Linked DNA regions of Lepisosteus oculatus. Each later gene encodes a partner of the first gene's protein in a complex. Links are inferred from orthologs where the notes say so. Each region holds a gene or a part of one and is shown on either strand. Other genes may lie near its edges.

What was found. The genes of interacting proteins can lie anywhere in the genome.
Region 2: general transcription factor IIF subunit 2 (region 1) and polr2b share a complex: the UniProt entries of both Homo sapiens proteins name them as parts of the TBP-based Pol II pre-initiation complex. The link is inferred for Lepisosteus oculatus from reciprocal best matches to the Homo sapiens genes GTF2F2 and POLR2B.

What each region holds. Positions count from the first base shown.
Region 1 is NC_090710.1:16,201,711-16,208,658, forward strand, and holds the start of general transcription factor IIF subunit 2, read right to left. Parts: upstream 3,111-6,948; 5' UTR 3,027-3,110; coding exon 2,961-3,026; intron 2,264-2,960; coding exon 2,190-2,263; intron 724-2,189; coding exon 705-723; intron 1-704. Other genes in the region: gpalpp1 (GPALPP motifs-containing protein 1), read right to left, coding at 5,046-5,264, 5,957-6,052, 6,838-6,948. UniProt on the Homo sapiens protein: TFIIF is a general transcription initiation factor that binds to RNA polymerase II and helps to recruit it to the initiation complex in collaboration with TFIIB.
Region 2 is NC_090696.1:33,268,474-33,276,361, forward strand, and holds the start of polr2b (DNA-directed RNA polymerase II subunit RPB2), read right to left. Parts: upstream 3,036-7,888; 5' UTR 2,905-3,035; coding exon 2,886-2,904; intron 1,861-2,885; coding exon 1,788-1,860; intron 928-1,787; coding exon 777-927; intron 579-776; coding exon 466-578; intron 1-465. Other genes in the region: noa1 (nitric oxide-associated protein 1), read left to right, coding at 3,364-4,618, 5,020-5,184, 5,553-5,764, 6,805-6,936, 7,610-7,726. UniProt on the Homo sapiens protein: Catalytic core component of RNA polymerase II (Pol II), a DNA-dependent RNA polymerase which synthesizes mRNA precursors and many functional non-coding RNAs using the four ribonucleoside triphosphates as substrates.

The DNA.
Region 1 (6,948 bases):
CAAAAACATAGATGGACTAGGTTTTTTTATAAATCACTCACATTTACATAACTAATCAAACTTTTGGGGAATATGAGCAAACCCACCAAAAGGTAATGTTAATTATAATCCAACCCCGAGTTCAAACACCACTGCAGTAATATTGCCACAGCTCCACTACAAGCTATTTCACTAAACCCTAAAATTAATTCCAGTGTTATGCTGTAGTCAATTAAATCTACATTTAATCACAATCCTAACCCATTGGAGGTCACCACAGAAGAAAAGCAAAATAGATTCTGGGGTGCATTCTCTTGATCTGCTTCAGCACACTATTGGGTTTATTATCGAGGGGCACCAAGAAAGCTTCAAGCTCAACCCATGCTCATTTACACTAAATTGGTCAAGGATCACCATGTCTGTGAAAGATGAAACATGATTCACAAAACTGCAACATGCCAGAATCAAAACTGTTCAAACAGGACAAATGCCCCAGAAACACTCAAGCTGAAGTGAAATTTTACACAGTTACCAGATAAATGCAAATCCCATCTGGACGTACGTGTTGCTAAACTGCAATATTATCAATAAAATGGAAAAAACAGAGAGGATATAAAATGTCATCCTGCAACACTGACACCCAGTGGCACACAGAACACCTCCAGCACTAAAGCGATTCTTACATAATGGCAGTTATCACTTTTTTAATTAGACGTCATGCTTACCTCTGCTTTTCCCTGATTCCTTTTTAAAAAAAGAAGAAAAATGTGTTAACAAGTTCTATTAATGTACATTAAAGTACTTCTTTATGAAGAAATACAAATGGTTTGTCTGTGAAAGTTAATATGCACCCTGCTGACCACCTATTAATAATAACATCACTTTATTAACCCTTTACAATTTCTTGCATTAGGAATTATCTTTTCACATACCCCAGCTTGCTCTCCATGAGACACACAGACACACAGATAGGGAGAGAGTCTGCCATTGTACAGCGCCCCTGGAGCAGTTGGGGTTAAGGGCCTTGCTCAGGAGCCCAACGGAGTAGGATTCCTCTGCCGGCTCGGGATTTGAACCGGCAATCTTCTAGCCACAGGCGCAGATCCTTAGCCACAGAGGCACTGCTCCGCCCCAAGTATAATACTGTAATCATTAGAATGACTGTATATATGATGTCTGGATAATATCTGGATCTACTCCACACTCCAACTCTTTTGGCAGGGACTCATGCATGCAATGTGTCATGAACAAGTGTTGAATGGATAAAATGATCCTATCATTTCTAACATTGCGTAACTCCAAAAAAAAAAAAAGATGGGTGTTACTTTGATGAAGTTACAAAATATCAGGGCTGCCCAGTCTTTCCTAGAGGGTCAGATTGTCTGTAGAGACTGGCATGATTGGAGTACTACAGCTTTAAAACAAACTAGAAAACGTACAGACACAGTGACCTTCCAGAACCAGGACTGAACAGGCCTGCAGTATATCCAACCAAAACAGTCATAACTATTTTCTAAACCATAGAACATAAAAACAGAAGCCTACCACTGCATAAACCTCTAAAGATAAAGGTGGGATTTACATAGCTGCTTGCATTTGTATTGCAGTTTTCATCCCAAAGTGCTACACACATATCAAGCGAAACATCATCCACAGCTCCAGTGCAGCACCTGACTGGGCAACACATGGGGGCCATTTTGTGCCAGCAGCCCCTCTAAACAGCAGAGAAGTGAGGAAACACTAAGTGAACTTGAATTATGGGGAGAATGTTAAGGAGGCCAGCTTGAACAAGCCTAAAGTGAACTTTATCCAGAACACCAGAGTAACACCCCAACTCCAATGTGCCAAGGGGTGTCTCTGGGCTAGTCAGGAAGTCTCTAGCTGAGGGACAGCACATCTTATAGCGCAGTGTTGCCAGTCACTGTACTGGGACAATGGTTGGGAAATTTTGATTTGGTGGGGCAATAACACCACCGCCTGGTCGAGCAACAGCGCTTAAAGTAGCACCCAGGCCCAGCCTCGCTAAAGAGTAGCGTGAAGCTAGCAACATTGAGCAATGTGAATTAATTGGAAGTGTTTGTAAACAGCTGAATTTTCAATCAAAGTAAAAGTCCACACTGCTCTTGCTCGTGCAGAGATCTGGGCACAAGGAAGTCTAGTGCTTTAAGTGCCTTACAAAATTACTACATGGGTGAAACAGGTGCACTCACTTGCAAATTTTGAGCTTTCCCACTTCACCCCTGCCTGTTGCTTTGGCCCACTGCTGTGAAAGGTACTTTGGAACCTGTAAGGAAGAAGATTAGAAAATATCTCTATATCTTTTCTCTCTCAAGACAAACCTTTGGCCATTTAATTTAACATCTCTAACAAGAGACTGGGTCACACGCCCCATTACACACTACAATGAGTGGGTAGGCAGACCTTTTACTTCATTTTAGGTAAAACTTTCATTAAAGCATTTTTCCACGATTCCCATTAAGTGAACGACATCCATATACAGTCACTGATGTGATTAGATCATCTTTCTTGGCATAAAAACGAATCATTCATCAATTCTGGCGTGTACTTCGTTTTCATCACATTAAACTGCTTAGGGTCGATGTCTTTTTTCCCCCACAGCTAAGGAGGCCTGCTTACAGGGTAAAATATTGAGACTTTCTCCACCCCGCGATCTCTACCCACGCTGCACGAACAGAATACAATAACAGCTGAACTAATTTCCCAAAAGACAGGAGACACACTTTTAAATGATAAAACACACAGAAGGGAGTGGAAGAATGTGGATATTCTTATGAAATTAATGTAATTCAAATTTTTATGTCACATCTGAAGCACTGCACACGGCTTTATTACCAGGCTAACTACAATTTTCATTTCGTGTCTTTAAGGGATTTAACTTTTTGCGACCCGATGCCTGTATCAGTAGCCAACCAGACAAATAAAAAAACATTTTCAAACGTCTGGGTTCCCGAAAAGCTTACCTTTACCAACCAAACGCCAGTATTTTGTTTGGCTCCTGTTAAATCGACTTCTCCCTTCTCAGACATTATTATAGTGGTTGTTATTATTACTATTATATTATACAGTATTTGTCACACAAGCCACCATTCGGTTTTTGTTCGTGCACTACGTCTCAGAACACAAACACTAGTGCAACTGCGCACGCTAATACGGCGGCCCTAAGGGAACAAACTTCATGACTCACCATTACAAAACGCGGTTCACTACAGTGATTTCGGAAGAAGTTGATAACATCGTTCTCTTAACGGTTAAAGAACGTATTATATGTGTAAATAAAATTACGAAATCTGTTGGCTAAGTTTGGAACTTAATACAAATCTGGTGCAAGCTCATACTTAACTAAAGGGTACATACTAAGATTTAGTTACACTACCACATTTTACACCTGTTTTATTCAAAATCCTATTTTTTCTAATGTTAATCAAATTTATTTTTTAATTTTATATATATATTCAGAAAAGGAAAAATAGTTTCACAACACTGTTTTCCCTATATTGGTAAATAACTCCTTAACAAATGCAAAGCATTACATTTAAAATTCCAGACACAAACTACTTCAAAAACGGGTTTTCTAAACTGACTTAAGGTCATTTACAATTATTTTAAAAGCACAGCATACTTTCAAATAAATACTAAAGACACATTTTCAAAAACTTTTAATTAAAAAAACATGTAAAATGTGATGGACTGAAAAACTACATTCATTGTATTAATAGAAACTAGCAGAAATGCATTTCAAGGATAATTTCAAGATACAATACATTGTACACTTAAACATCTTAAAATAGCTATTTTGAAAGAATTACCCAGAAAAATAATCCACTTAAACATATTTACATTAAACACTAACAATGTTCTGTGATGCAATATTTATAGGTTTTTTTCTCCACAACAGGCAATACCTTATTTGAAAAACATTAGATTTTTTTCTCACAGTAATTGCTGTTTTGGTCTTTATGCATTAGGATTTAATGTAAGACCAAAATGGCCTGGTCACTGCAGAAGTTTGCCTTTTTTTTACACTGCAATCAGTGGTGTTCTTTCCAAACCTGTGATGAACTGCAGTGCGTCTTATCCCAACTGGATTCAGAATCTATCAGGCTGTGCTAGATTTCCTGACATGAAAATGTTAAGTGAAGAGGGAAGCAGAAAACCTTGTGCAAGGTTTCTTCCGTAACATTTGATTCGGAGTAGAAAATAAATATAAAGATGGTCCTCTTTGCATGATCCAGATCTGTTATGGCTTGTAAAACAGCTTCTCTTAGAAAATAAACTCTGAAAGTCAAATAACAATGTGCTACCCACAGATCTATAATGAATCAAGAACCTTGTAGAACTGGAATTAATCCTAAGAAATTGTATAGATCAGGAGTCCTCACTCTCCTAGTCCTGAAGAGGCACTGCTCATCCCTGCGGGCTTTATAAGGAACTTCCAAAACTCTTCATTGATTACAAAATTAACAGCTGTAATATTAACTGATTAAATCAATAGTGGATTAAATTAAATAATTAGGAGCTCTGGTAGACTGGAAAGCATGAAGAGCATGGCATGTGGCTCACCAAGATCAGAAGTTTGGATCACTGCTCTACACTAACAAATTCCAGATGACATTTCTGGACAAGCCTGAACACACATAAACATGTTTCGTGAATGGTCAAACGTAGATCTGGCAAAGAGAGATTTCAGTAAGATGATACAACTAAATCCGACATCATGTCCACAGGGCTGATATTTGATACTACCCGTCTTTAAAAATCTGTCTGAAAGTCATTATTCCCACCTACGGAACTCACAAAGACTTTCCCTAATAGATTCTCTCTCTTTTTGTTCAAACTACCTTCTTCAGAATTCAAATTTACAAACCCCCCTTACACACAAGAAACAAATCACACATGATTTTATATGGTATCTTCATGTAAAACTCTGCCCTCCAATTAATCGTCTGCAACATCCCTCTAACTCCTACTAATACTTCCATCCTAAAGGAAATAGAGCACACCAGTTCTGGTCGAGTCAGGCCTGCAGCCTGGAGCAGAGCAGACAGCTAGAGGAACATGGTGCCTTTGCTATGTGAGAACCGGGTGTTGAGTTCCTGAGACTTCTTGATTAGAGCCTTCTTCTGGGCCTGGTCAAAGCGATTCACTTGCAGGTCCTGGTCCCTGTCAAAAGGCCGTCTCTCCTGGGGCTTTGTGACTTCCTCCTCCGTCTTCCTCTTTAACTTCTTTGTGTGCATGTTGAGGAGAGACTCGGACCGCTTGGAATCCTGTGTTATTAGGGAAGAGGCGGTTGATTTTAATGCAGAGCTGCATCAGAACCTAGCTTCACAGATAATCCACAGAACGCATTTTACTTCATAAACATGCAGGGGAGGGGGGAGCACAATGATAGCGAGGTTTATTTTCTTCATTGAAACCACACATTTTACAGGGTTTTCTTGCTAACTAGTATGTACAGGATGGTATTCCCCCCTTTGTGACAATAACACACTTACTGTAACAAAGCCAGTGGATACTATAACAGAAAACATGACCATGTTCGATACGCGTCTCTTTTTCTGGATAAGACAAATCTGAAAAAATGAACATCTTTCCAACTGTGTATACTGTAAATAACTAGTTCCAAGGGCATACTTTAATAAGATCTAAGATGCAACAGAACTGTATCACCATAACCAACTGGCCTGTATTTGATAAGACAAGCCTATGGAGAGCATGTACTGTTTTACGTGGTGGAGAAAATGTATTGTCATTTCTACAAAGCCCTTTTAGCTGTTAGGTAAGCAGGATGTCTTCGGGTTGCTTTCTATAAAAAAACCTATCTGGTATTAAATATAACAGTGAAAAACTTACTCTGAATACAAAATCAAAAAAGATCTGGTAAATCAACTCTCTTAAGCTGCAATTATGATTTTTACTTTTTTTGGACAAGCTGATGATTTGCTATTAAGGTACTTACATTGTACTTGGACACCTTCTCCGCCATCTCCTGATCCCTCTCCGACAGCTGTGGGATCTCCTCCTTCTCCGGACTCCTTTTCCCTTCCAGGCGCTCCTATGGAAAAAATACCCCCAGAAAGGTAACAGATGAGAAGGAGAAGATACCACAAGGAGCCTTCCTCATTTTAAATGATAAACCCGAGAAAAAGAAATGATCACGACACACATGATGCGAATGTTCATTTTACAAAGGTGTTCAGTGATGTGACTCTGCAGTTTTGGTGGGGGTGGGCTGTATTGTTTTCAACAGGAAGTCGTGGTTCCAGTGGTGTTAACAGATCTCCGTCCATCCATTTTCTAATCCACTTGTCCAAGGTACATGCTGGTCAGAATACCAGTCATTCGCAGGGCAGACACAGTACCAGACAAACACACTCTCACAGACTGGGACAATTTTCCCAGAAACATGTCCTTAAATAGATTTATTAGCTACCAATATGCCTATGATTAGCTATTAATGCCAGATATGTCTTAAACTACAAATATTAAAAGACTGGAATGCTGTAACTGCATCGGCAATGAGTAATGAGTACGGAAAGGAGAATTTAGATTTCCTTTCAGCCGTCATGCAGTGAGCTGAGTGTAGGGAATATTCTGACAAAGGCTTTGTCATGGGGAAAGGACACCATGGGACCATAAGTTACAGGCCCTTTCAAAAATAGTCCATAAGAAGCAGAAAAGCAGTACCAATTACTTGTAATATTCATTTGATTTTCCACACCTCTCTATGTAAGAGCTCCCCAGATCAGTAATCTCTCGCTTGTTTATGCACAAGGCACGGTTACTTTAAATTGCTTTTACTCGTTTCCCTCTTGAGTGAAAGGAAACTCGTTAGCCCACCCTGGCTTTCCTCTCCTTGTCAGCTGGGGTGTCAGTCCACAGGGAGCGATCTTTACACTCCGGTCCCGATCTCTTCTTAAAGGTTCTGGGGCCGAGGCCAAAGTGCTGCAA
Region 2 (7,888 bases), on another chromosome or scaffold:
CTGCACTAAGCCTTCCATAGGGCAGTACACTACAACATTCACCATACCAAAATGTAACAGAGGGTGTTTTTCTTAAACCAGTTGGTTAAAATACATTCCCTTAATAAGAGAAATAAATTATCCAGAAATTGATATTGTGATGGGAGAAACGTTATTTTAGAAGGTAGACCAGAAATGAGGAGCCCAGTGTCCAACTTTATTTTAAAATGGAAAAATATCAAAGCCAGGTATTGTTATTGGAGTACTTCAGGTGAATTCCTTTGGTCAAAGGTACAAACAGCACTGTCTCAGCTGGAGTTTAACCTTCCAGTTTCAGAGACCTAACCCCTGCTGCACAATGCTGCTCTAGCTCTCAAAAAAACCCTGGTGTGAAGCACATTTCTGCAACAGCAATGGACAAAACTAAACAATGTGGGGGATCGCATCAGAATAGGGAGCAACACAACAATGTAAAGCTCAACTTACGTAAGATTTCGGAGTCTAGCTTCATTTGGCATCATAGGAGAAGGAGCTCCATCTCTCTCCCAGTGCGTAGGTTTGGAAAGATAAATCTGCTCAAACTTCAGCAGGTAACGTGGCTAGAACGAAAAGATGACAAGAGGTGATAAACATGCAAAATCCACCCATTGATTTCACAGAAATCGCCCCTACTGTGGGCAAACCGCCCCCTGCACCAATTAATCAGACGTATCTGTGCATCAATACATATCACTACACTTTCAGACTGCTTGGGGTCACATGCCGGAAAAATCTTTTCAAGCCGTCGAGAGACTCACGGGCTCCTCCACTTCTCCAGAGGTGTGCTGGGCCTCAGCCTGCAGGTCGATGGGTGGGGCATCCTCCACAATCCTCTGTACTGACATCTGGATGAACTCATCGAAAGAGTCCAGCTGCTGCCTCACCAAACCCTTTTCATCAAAATAAGAACTACGAAGACAAGAACAGGCCATCCATTACTAATACCATTCTCCCCCTTTGTGCCCCAAATGTGGAAAAAAACCTGGGCTGAATTTGCTTTGAAGATCTGCATTACAGGAGATGATCACTACTGCTTCTATAGATATAGGTCAGAATAACTGCACAGAAAGGAAGAATGCTGACTGCATCAGACAAACTGCAGCTTGCAATGTTAAGAATGACAGTGAACTATAGACTATCTTCATTAAAGCCCAACATTTCCTTCTGTTTTAGAACTTTAAATACATTCTGATTCATTACAGCCAAATCTGTGAAACCCTTTACCAGAAATGTTTTTAACTTTGTATATCTGTATCAGAAAAAAAATGTGCTTTTTTAAAAAAGCAGGATAGAACTTGACTGGACATAAACAGACAAACATATATATGAATATATAAGGGGACACACTTAAAACAAAATGAAAAACAGTTCAACTTTTGCAGTGGAGAGCCACAATCAAGTAGGTCTTATAGGTCATCCTTAAATTATATCTTTGTAAGGACCTGCAACATGTGGACTGTGATCAGTTTAGTCAGGTAACTGGTTCAACTAAATCAGGAATGACCAACCTTTAAACTGTGTAGCTTTAAAAAATGAACAAAACTGAAATTATTCATTTCAGTTCTCAAGTCTTTACAATTGTTTGTAGGAAAACTAATGGTGACATTCAAAATCTGCTGGGTTGTACGTCACTGGGACCAGGGCTGGACTTTTACAGCACAGAAGAATGTTGAAATGTGAGTATTAAGTCAAAAATAAGATCAATAAAATCAAAAGATAACCCTAAAAGGTGAAGGTGGTTAATATGTTATATTTTTTAGGCTGCTCACCTGATGACAATCCAGCAGGCTTCCTGCCACAAGTCTGGAGTGATCTCATCGTCATCTTCATCATACTGAATATCTAAACAAGACCACAGAATTGTAATATTAAGGGAGCCCCATCCACATAAAATATTATGCTCTCTTTGGACTTCCCCCTAAAAAAGTATTATTCACAGGCAGTTACCTTCTACAGGAAGAAAGCTTGCTGCATATGAAACTAACAAAGAAAGGTAAGATGGCCCTTAATGCATTTGATTTTCACAGAAACTGTTTTTACACTACATGCGTGGTAAAAAGCTTTTCAAGAGACATGGTACTTGGACCTGCTATCTCACAGCTCTGGAGACAGCGTGCCGCCTATGCAGAGTTGATCGCACTGCATGTACACATATGAATTTTCTCCAGGCACTTTGCTTCATTCCACTTCCTAAAGGCATGATCAAGGATAAAAGGAGCAAAAAATCTTTATTCTCCTCAATAACCTGCCCTCTCTGAAGCAGCTTTGTTACAATGGCGACACGAGTGTGATTGTTTGTCGAAAGACAGAACTTAGACTAATACATCAGGAGGCATCTGTTAACTTCACCGAAATTGACTTTTATAACGTTTGCTACTCTGCAACCTTTTCGAACATTAAAGAAAAGGCCACGTTTTTAATTCCTAAGGACAGTGGTACGCAAAATGAGATGTTAGAACCACCATGAACTAATTACCGTTCCTCCGATTTCATTTTCTGGCGTTTCTTGATAAAACTGAAATGCCAAAAGCTTTTTGGAAAATCACCTTCCCTATTTGGATGTAAAGCTCTCGCCTGTTGAATGCATTTCAAAATACAAATTTAGAACTCATGTGCTGAAAGTGACTGTAAATACGAACGGTTTAGACTGAGAATGTTGAAAACGAAGCACAATATTTCTAAAACAAACTTCAGGATGCACAAAATCTAAATAACAGATGTCGTTAAACGTGTCAGAGTTAATGGCACAATTCATTTTGCATTTATAAGACACCTCTGTACAATACAGACCAAAAATCAAAGAACGTACCCTGACGCCATGTTCAAAATATTGTTTAAAAAAAGAACTAAACAAACCAGATACCTACCTTCATCTTGATCATACATATTGGATTGAAGGTACTTCCTTTATTGACTCCAAAAGAAAAAAAAACACTTACAAATACGTTGAATTAAAAATAAGTGCGCTATAACCCTCTACTTCCATCCACACCACCTGAACACAACAGTACGAGATATCGATGGTGTATACGTCACTTCCTGCAGGCTTTCGTGACGTCAAACGAAACATTTTAAAATAATTGAACCACCAGAAATATGTTAATTGTAATTGATATTCTCAATAATAATACAAAGAGAATCGTGATAATAATTATTAATAATAATTTCGGATGGTTTGATGTGGTAATCATATACGTCACAGGAGTCAGAGTACTAAAAATGGAAGACTCCTAGACGCACCACATGTGTATGTTATTATTTGCCATTCAAGGTTCAACTAAGAAGAAAAAACGTAACCTTTAAAAAAATATTTCAAGTATAATTTCTTTTTTAATTATATTAAAAATGCAGAGGTTATACCGACTAAAGCAATGTGCTCCTGCTTGTTATTGCGCCCGGAATGTGTTTCCTGTATTTTTACCAACTTTGGGGGACAGACAAGGTAATCGCTGTTCATCTATTCTACGCAATTGTCCAGGACTCTGTAGAAAAGTGCCAACTTTTAAGATCTTCTGCTTGGAAGACACGTGGACGTCAGTGGCCCGCTGTTACAGCACAACGCAAGCGGCAATCGGCGACAGCGGAAAGCAGGGACGTCTTGGAAACTCTTACACATCGATTGAACCAGAAAAAGAAGAAGAATTCGTCTTTCTAGACTACTCCAACCTAGAGGAAGAGAACGATGATGGGGTTTCTTTCAAACCCCCTTCGCAGATGGGGTCTGTGGCCAATAAAGAGAGAAACGCATCGCGAAAGTCGTGTACAGAGGTGTATCACAGAGCTTTGGAAATACAGATGCGGTTATTAGAAGATACAGTGTTAGACCAGGACCAGGACGTACAAGAAATGGATATAGAATTTCATGACGCTGGCTTCCCCCTTCCTAAATTAACTTCTAAAAGGAAAAAATCTCAAAAAATATACGGCACTCCAGATAAGGAGATTCCTTTTAGTGACAACAGCTGTTCGGGATGCGGTGCTCGTATGCATTGCACTGACCCGATTTTGCCCGGTTATGTACCCAGTGAGAAATACAAACAGCTAATAAAGGAGGACAAGATGGACAGAGCGGTGTGTCAGCGATGTTTCTTGCTTGTCCATCACCAAAAGTCTTTAAATATTCAGGTTTCGAAAGAAGAATATCGGAATGTTGTTAGTCGGATACGCCAAGAAAAAGCTTTGGTATTGTTCATTGTGGACCTTCTGGATATTCCCGATTCTATCATTCCAGATCTGTTAGAACTAGTGGGCAAAAATAAAACCATAGTGGTTCTGGGAAATAAAATAGATCTGCTACCTGGCGATTCGGATTGCTATTTAAAACGAATTAAACGTCAGCTTTTTGCATATTGTGTTGACGCAGGTATTACTTTAGGCGATGGCACCAAAGACGTCCATCTCATCAGCGCCAAGACCGGCTATGGGATAGAAAACCTAATTTCGAGTCTTCAAAGATCGTGGAAATATAAAGGAGATGTGTATTTGGTTGGAACAGCAAATGCTGGAAAGTCTACACTGTTTAACACCCTGCTGGAGTCAGACTACTGCAAGTCGAAAGCTCCAGATGTGATTCAGAAAGCTACCATATCTCGATGGCCAGGTAATTATTACTGTACATTTGCCAGGCTGCAGGCCAGTGCAAAGTGAAGACCCGCTCTCTTTCGTCGTAGAAGCCTATGAAGGCACTATATAATGCAGTGAGGTTTAGCATGATTTGCAGAGAAACTGCCCATATGTCTAAGTAAAGGCCTTGCAGTGCCAAGTTCAAGTTATTAGGATATGTTTATGTGAAGTCTTTGTATGAACAGTGTAATAAACCTCAGTCTAAATCACTAGATGTTTTGATGATTGAGGAAGAAATACCTTTCGCTATTCCCTCAGCTCAGTGTATGAAAAGTATTGTTTTCCATCTGTCAAAACCTAAATTTATCCCATGTTAGGTGGTCATATTTTAGGTTGTTGCAGATGGAAGCAGACACTAACCTATCTGTTCTTCATGAGGCACCACACTAAATCTCCTGAAGTTCCCAATCATCAACCCCACTCCATATCGCATGTTCAAGAGGTCTGAGAGACTGAAGAGTGATGGCTCTCAGTCAGAGAAGGACCTGAGCCCACAGGAGTTAAGACGACTGCAGCAGCTCAGCAAGCAGGGATATTTAGTAGGTAAGAGTTCTGACTTCTATGACAGTACCAGATCAACATTTGTTCAGGCCTGAATAAATTAAAAGGAGACAGAATAAAAACCCTGTGACTAAATCTAAACTTCCCCTTAACCCTAACTTAAATGACACAGTGAAACTCTTAACTCTAACCCTATGCTCCCCTTAACTCTCAGTCCTCACTTTAACTTACATTCCAGCATCTGGTACCTTAACACAGCCTGGTTTCAAGCCCATAATTATAATAATAAACCTATTCCTGTTCCTCCATGACCCTGATTTCTTCAAGAGCCCAATGAAAGACTTCCTGTGGGGGTGGAGTTGCCACACTTGCACGGTTGACAAGGAATTTGTCTTCCCTGTTCATTTCAGGGCGAGTTGGCAGATCTTTTGGCTCGGCTGTCCAGGCGCAGAAAGATATGGATGTTGTGGATTTTGATCTAGAAAGTCTCAGTGTGGGAGAGGAGGAAGAAGACAGAATGAGTAAAAAATCAGCTCTTTCCAACCCAGTGGAGTTCACCCACAACGAGCTCAAAGATGCGCATTGGCTGTATGACACCCCGGGAATTATGAAAGAACACTGTGTGAGTGCTTTTGCTAAAACGTATTGTACGTTTAGCCAATGCAATCTTTGTGCTTAGCTGCAGAATAATTACTACATGCACCTAATATATTGAATCAGACATGAGTCATGAGTGCAGCATCATGTCAGATGTAGAGCTCTTCTCTGACTGAAACACTTACTGTCTGCTGGTGCCCATGGTCAGTTATTGCTATCCCTATTAGTTAAAATGTGCCATCTTGTAGTTGTTTTTATTCCAGGCAGACATGGGAAGCTTTAGTACTGATAAGCTTGATTATTTCCCAGAGGAAACTGATTGTCCTACACTGACTCCAGCTCCCTTTTCCATGTAGATGCCCCTCAGAACCTTATATGTGCCCATAGAGGTCGCCTCTATCAGACCCACGTACAGACTTCTTTCTTGTAGTCATCCAGAACACCAGGCAACGCGTTATAGCTCTCAGACACTATGAACTTGCAGGGGTTTGGAAATTAGAACTAGTGGCTCAGTTGTACAGCAGTGGATTTCTTGAGCAAGGTCAACATGGAAGTAGGAAGGGTAGCTCTTTGCATAGCTTTAAACAAGCAACAGAAGTAATGGATACAAACAGAGTATATTTTGATTTTCCAAAGGCTGTTGATAAAAGATTCATTCTCAATAGGTAGTAGGGAGTCAAGCTACTGTATGGATTTGGATTGAGAACTGCCTAATGCATAGAAAACAGTGAAGGGTTAAATGCTCAAAACTGGGTGATGTTATTTCTGAAGTACCACAAGTCTCTGTGTTAGGACCACTCCTCTAAATCAATTTTTAATTTATATTAATGATCTTAATGGGATTAGGTTATTAACTAGTCACGTTCACAGATGACACCAAAATAGGAGGATGAGGATTAAAAACAATCTGTAAAAGATCAAGGCAAACTTTAACAAATGGCAGACAGCATTTAATGCAGACACGTGTAAAGTGTTTGTAACAGGGCGCTGTGTATACTGTGTGCCCATGTTTGAAAGCCTATTGAAATAAGCAGTTCTGCTATTTAATCTCTTTGCATTTTGCAGGTTCTCAGTCAGCTCACAGATGAAGAGTTGAAGATGGTGGTACCAACTCAAGCCATTGTGCCCAGGACGTTTGTGCTGAAGCCGGGAATGGTGCTCTTTTTGGGCGCCCTAGTGCGCATAGATTTCCTTAAGGTGGGTAAATTGTAGAGGTCATGACCATTTGGTTTTGTGCCCATGGTGTCATACATGGACTAAAAAGTAAAATGTTTGTTAACTGTTTTTAGAGTATGTTCCCCAATTCAGCATGGACATAAGTGACACTTTAAATGCAGTTGTGTTAAATGTTGTGATGTAAAATAAACGCAAGTGACAATAGTGGATTACGATTTCAGTGAAGTTAAAAGTGCCAAAAGGATAATTGAGGCAAATAATGGTAGTTTGCAATATTACATGCTGATTTTGGATGTAATATTGCAATATTACCAATATTACATACAGATTTTGCTTGATTATTCAATAGGTATCTGTACAGATTTTTTCGTAATAAAAGTACCACAAACACATCGCCTGGAGGAGAACTGGGACCCCAGAGGTCTATTTGCTCCCACAGGAATTTTTTGTTTTCCCTTTTTTTGTACTCTTGAGGTCTACTGTTGCTGTACAGGATTGTTAACTGCTGTATAAATCTGCAAAGCAGTCTGTGGCAAATGATTTAAGAGAGATTTAATATTTTTTTTCAAATGAGATGCAACAATGAGATTCAAAGGAGATAAAAAAATATTTTAGGCATGAGTGGTGCCATTAAGATTCTTGTGCACTCCATGAGTGGTAGCCTGTTTCACTTTAAAGGCTCTTCTTGCCTTAGGGCGAGAGATCTTGTTGGCTCTCGATTGTCGCCTCCAATCTCCTGCCAGTTCACATCACCAGTGGGGAGAAAGCAGATGACATTTACCAAAAGCATGCTGGGAATACACTTCTTGGGGTAAGTGCGTGTGAACAGTAGGAAACCAAAACAGAAAACTTTTAAAGCACAACTCTTATCTTTGCTGTAGCAATTAAATTTGGGGAAAATGAATGTTTTAGTTTATAGTATTAAAGTGATACCTCAGTAATTTGATAATGTACTGACAGGTGATCAGGAGTG